Kluyveromyces lactis: one gene and its partner. The protein of the gene in region 1 purifies or fractionates together with the protein of each later gene. This does not show direct contact. Links are inferred from orthologs where the notes say so. Each region holds a gene or a part of one and is shown on either strand. Other genes may lie near its edges.

What was found.
Region 2: the proteins of RRP42 (region 1) and RRP43 purify together in Saccharomyces cerevisiae (affinity purification with mass spectrometry; 5 studies listed by BioGRID). This does not show direct contact. The link is inferred for Kluyveromyces lactis from reciprocal best matches to the Saccharomyces cerevisiae genes RRP42 and RRP43.

Annotation. Positions count from the first base shown.
Region 1 is NC_006041.1:823,672-826,398, reverse strand, and holds RRP42 (exosome non-catalytic core subunit RRP42), read left to right. Parts: upstream 1-1,260; coding exon 1,261-2,055; downstream 2,056-2,727. Other genes in the region: RRT6 (Rrt6p), read left to right, coding at 93-866; TRM3 (tRNA (guanosine(18)-2'-O)-methyltransferase), read right to left, coding at 2,111-2,727. UniProt on the Saccharomyces cerevisiae protein: Non-catalytic component of the RNA exosome complex which has 3'->5' exoribonuclease activity and participates in a multitude of cellular RNA processing and degradation events.
Region 2 is NC_006039.1:318,872-322,020, forward strand, and holds RRP43 (exosome non-catalytic core subunit RRP43), read left to right. Parts: upstream 1-1,426; coding exon 1,427-2,566; downstream 2,567-3,149. Other genes in the region: RBK1 (putative ribokinase), read right to left, coding at 1-863; KLLA0_C03542g (elongation of very long chain fatty acids protein), read right to left, coding at 2,853-3,149.

The DNA of each region.
Region 1 (2,727 bases):
TCGCTTCAGTAATTAGATTGTGGTCTTTTCGTTTGTTATTATACCCAGTTCATTTCGTTCCAGCTAGTAATTTTTTTGTTCTTTTTGTTTAAATGGTGATATCGTTGATATATGTCCTTTTACTGATATGTTCAGTTGTCTCGGAGACCCTTAAACTGCCGATAAACCCAAATCGATTAGAATTCGATTTGTGGCCATATAAAAAATGGGAAGTTGACGGCTCGAGTGACGCGTCTAGTTATCAAACTTGTTTCGAAATGAATACGAATATTAAGGCCAAGGATTTACAATTCCTCATTGAAATTGAAGAATTTACTAAATGGAAAGTTAATGTGGATAGGTTTGGTCCAACTACGAGTTCAAAGGGAAAACAGGTTGTCAACATGGATATTTATGACGAAGACCAAAATTTGGTACAGTCAAGACATGGTTTAGAGAATGGGGAAACTGTGCTTTACGTGAGCGTATACGAACATCAGAATTTCCAAATATGCCTTATCAACTTTTCATTAGACTCCTCATGGAATGCCATAGATAGTGTGAAGCAAGTAGCAATTAGCATCACGTCTAATGATCTGATTCAGAAACAGAAGTGGGATTTGATTACTGATGATGATCTCAATTTGTTATCCCAGGGTAGAGATGACCTGTTTTCGTTGGTCAGTGCGGATTCTGGCCAGGAATTGCATGCTTTAGATGTCGATCATAGAAATCTCAACGAATCAACGTTCTCTTATCTACTGGCAAAAGTCACAATATTATTCTGCATCATTGGAGTATGTCATTTGCTGGTATTTCCAATCTTACTGTATAGAATCGTTAGCAAAGGGCAACCGACCAAGAACAAAAATAAAATCAAAAGATAAGGAATAATTATGTCCATAAAACAGTTGATGTATTTGTATATATATTAAACATCAGCACCCTGTATCAGTACAACTTCAATATCAGTCAGTCAGCATTCATCGTATGTTAGTACTTCGAACCGTGACTGACACCTGACAGAACATCTCACTAATGGCCAATTATATCCGGGTAACACCGAATATTAATGTGCATTAGCGAAAAGAAGAAATGAAAAATCTGAACTAATTTCAGTATTGACTTATATGAGCTTGAGATGAGATGCAATGAGATGATGAGAAAAGGCTTATTTCCCTTCTATCAACAGCAATAGAAACATCTGAGTTTAAAGCGAGTTATCTTCTCACGAAGCAGACCCATCTCGTTAAAAAAAAAATCAAATAATATAAGAAGATAATGGGACTTTCGTTAACTGAAAAATCGTTCCTATACGATTCTCTAACATTAGATCCCCCATTAAGACCGGATGGAAGAGGTCCACATCAATTTAGACCATTGGAAGTATCTACTGATTTCCTTCCCAATTCTAATGGATCCAGCCGTGTGATATTAAGCGGAGGAAGCGAGTGTATAGTGAGTGTAAAAACTAAAGTCGTGGACCATACGGTAGAACAAGAATTGCTTGTTGCTGATGTCGACATCCAAGGCCACAGAGATGACTCTCCATTGGTTACCAGCATGTCTTCACTATTATCCAAATTGCTCAAACAAACTATTGATCAGAAAAAGCTAATGCTCACGAAAAGGTACAGTTTCAAACTTTACATTGACGTTTTGGTGCTTGCCTCCAAATCATACCCGATCTCAATGATATCTTTCGCCATTTTCAGCGCTTTGAAAAACACATGGCTACCGAAACTAATATCGAACGACGATGACTTAGAAGTGGAGGAGCTACCCACATTCCATGATTACGATATGGTTAAGCTAGAGGCAGATGCTCCTTTATTGTTTACGTTCGCAATTGTAGGAGACGGTGTTTTTGTGGATCCAACTTTTGAAGAGAGCATAGTATCGAACAATGGCCTTCTAATTACGTGGTACAAAGATAAGGTTACTTCTCCGATAAGATCTGTTGGCTTGAATAACGATAATATCAAAGGGTTCAGTCAGCATCATTTAGAACAAGCGTTCAAGTTAATTCGTCAATACGCACCACATATTGAAAAAGCTTTGGATGCTTCAGATTAAGGAACATTTAAATAGTAAATAGGTACTTTTCAGGGTGTTTATTATAAATGCATATCTATAAATGCTGGATCGAGTACGAATGAACGATAACAGCTGTTGCAGTTTGGATATTCATGGATCTTATTACCCCAGATTGTTTGATTTCTAAGCATAAATCCAACTCCTTTAACAAATGCCCTGGAATACCATGAGCTTCTGTTCCTAGTAAAATGACAGATTTTGATGGAAATTTAAATTCAGAATTCAGTTGAATGGAAGAATCAGTCTGCTCCAATCCAATTAACGTATATCCTTCCAACTTCTTTGCATTCATGTAAGATATTATACCATCGACAGGAACTTCTTCAATAGGCATCCAGCGGTCCGCTGTAACCGCAACATTTTTGAATTGAGGATGCTGTTTGACTCTAATATCATGAATTGTCATAGTACCGACACCCAACACGTCACAGAGTCTACAAATACCTCCGAGATTGGGTGCTTTATCCACTAATGAAGCTACGACAATTAATTCAGATCGTGCAACAGACTCAATGGATTTTTGATTATCGAAATCCAAGACAGCTTCCCAAGCACCACTCTTCGTTTGTAGGGGCGAGTTTTTTGCTAACTCAGTTGAATTTACTAGATTACTACTTCTTTTGGTCAACCATAGTTCACTCTCTTCCGATC
Region 2 (3,149 bases), on another chromosome or scaffold:
ACCGCTCCAAGGAAGGTATCACCAGCCGCAGTAGTATCAACAACTTTCTCAACCGCTATTGAAGGAACGTGACCTCCTTTAACGTTTTGCTTAGAGGTAAAAACTGCACCGAATTCTCCCAAAGTTATAATAACAACCGAGGAATTTGATGTGTTTATCAAATTACTCTGATAATACTGCGCTAATTCTAGGTATCCCAGCTTGAAGCTCTCCGCAATTCTCGATTTGTAGTTCTCAACCACGGCTTCACCATACAGTGATTCGCCAATTTGAATGGCTTCAATTTCATTAACAATTAAAATATCAACAGATTTCCAGTCTTCTACTTTTAATGCATGAAATGGAGAAGGGTTGAATACTACCTCAAAGTTTGGTCTATTTGCCTTTATCCAATTCATGATGGAAGGAGGATCAGGAATTTCATGTTGAAACACAATGAATTCTTTGGCGTTATTTTGAAACATCACTTCAAGCTGCTTATCAGAATACATAGTCTTACTGTTCGCTCCTGCTGTAATCATGATTCTATTTTGTCCCTTAGCTTTTTCCACTATAATTACTGCAACACCAGTTGACTCGTCATCAACCTCTTCAACATATTCTGTATTGATGTTATGATACTGCAATTTTGATAGTAGTTGATTTCCAAATGAATCAGAACCTACGTGGCCAACCATCCTAATGTTGCTTGTCTGGTCATCAGATGGTTTGGTTAATTTCGCGAGCGAAATGCATTGATTCAACCCCTTACCACCAGCATGTGTTTCAAACGAATCCGCAACGAAGGTCTCTCCTGCTACCGGAACACGCTCCGTATACGTGACCAAATCAAAATTTAACGATCCCACGACAACTATGCCCATACTGTTGTCTTGTTTACTTTGGGGTCCAAGCTCTTTATGTCGCAGTTAATGCATTGTATATACTGTCAAATCCTGCATATAATTCTTATCATTTCGTTTCAGATGTCCATAAATAAACCCAAAGCAGAGAACAAAACGGTACCTTTTTACATTTAAGCTAATTAAAAGTAACGAAGATGTAACGTACCACTTGACATCTATCCCACCTTTCGCTGGATTAGCTGTTATTTAGGGTATATCACATCAATATATCGGTCACGTGAGAATTATATTCTTTTAAGCAGCCTAGGGAGTCCGCAGATCTATTCAGAACCTTGTCACTTAAGAATTGAAAGGCATAACCAGTATACTGTATCGATTCCTGATAGTGTTCGACCCTCTCAGGGGTTTATACCAGTGTTTTCCATCCATTATTACTGCATAAATCTTTCAAACCTTCATAACGTCAAGGATGTATAAAAAAGTGAAAAACTTCAACTAGGTCTTTTACAAACGATTATAGCTCATCGCATGGGCTTAAGGATGGAGGAACTCCGCCAAGGAGTTGCTACAACCGATCAAGTATGACTGAAAGTATTGATATACATCCAATAGTTTTCCCACCCGAAGTTTTAGCTCGAATTTCGCCTGACATCTCCTTACAAAGACATTTGTCTTTGGAAACTCGACCATGTTCAAGAGGATTCGAAGAATTCAGAGATGTTGCCATTAACGATGGTAATATATCTAGGTACAGTACGAACTGTCAAAATGCAACTACAAATAACATTATTGGTTCCAGTCTTCTACGCTCTGGCAAGACCTTTGTGATAACTTCGATAACGGGTGGCATCATTGAAGAGACATTACCGGCGAACAATACTGAAGATGTTGGAGAAGAAGAATTGATGAAGCTTTCAGAAGATACTGATAGGCTCTGCGAAAATTCAACTATTTATCCCGTAGTAGAGGTACAACGTGGACGTGTTGGTGGTCCTACCGATGAAGAGATGATCACTTCAGAAAAGCTATACAAGACACTCTTACATTCTGGAATTCTTAAGAAAACAGCTTTGGCTGTATCGTGCGGTATTCGCAGGACTGAAGAAGATGGAAGTGTCACCACAATATACAGTGACGAGCTACTCGATGAGGAGAAAAAAATTAATGAAGCAAACAATAGGAAATGGTCCTATGTGCTTTATGCCAAAATACAAGTTTTCAGCCGTAACGGTCCAATTTATGATCTCTGTTGGAATTCTTTGATTAGTGCGCTAAAAACAGTGCAACTACCTAGAGCTTTCCTAGACGAACGTGCTGCTGATTTGAAAATTGCTATAAGAACCCGAGGTCGTAGTATGACAATTCGTGAAACATACGACATCTTATGCGACCCACACAAATCTTTACCTTTAAAATTGAACGAAGGAGAATTATGCTATGGTTCAAACTACGGAATCATTGACATCGAACCTTTAGCACAATTGGCCAAAAATGATGACGAAATGGACGTGGATAAACCAACTTCAGTATTATTAGCGGATATAGAAACAGAGGCCGAGGAATCATCAATTCTATCTACATTGTCCTTGACAACGAACAAAAATGGTCAATTCAAGGCTGCAACAATCATCGGAGGTGACTCTAAGATCACACCTGAAATGATAAAAAGGTGCATATTTTTATCTAAACAAAGATCAAAAGATATTGAATCCAAAGTTTAGTTGTGTAAGAAGCATATCGATATCTTTATAATACACGACATATTCAAACTTTCTTCAAAACAAACGTCAGAGTAATCTTGAACGTCAATCAATAGTTACTTACAAAAGAGGCTAAATTTCTAGTTATCTACGTGAGTTCTCTTTCGTACCAAATCATGACAGGAAACCTATTGAAGGTAAAACATCCATAAGAAAATGTAACATAAATAAACAAGGATGAAGAGAAGAGAATAAAAAATGATAGCGTGTGTTGAATATTACAACGTTTACATGCAAAAACATGTATTTATGCCTTCTTAGATCTAGTATTTCTCTTTCTTGGAGCTGGAGAAGGAGAGGGAGTACTCACATTCTTCAAATCGACATTCACATATTCGTTAACCTTAGCTGCAACACCACCACGAACTCTTTTAACAACCTTAGACTTCTTTGTGCCTTGACGTCTGTACACTTCAATGTAAAATGCAATGAATAAAAATAAGTAAGAAGAGATGATGGCGCATCCAGAGAAAGTGGCAGTAGTCGAACCGACACAAGAACCGCAATGTGGTAGGCTTGGGAAATAATCAGTAGCAACCTTTTG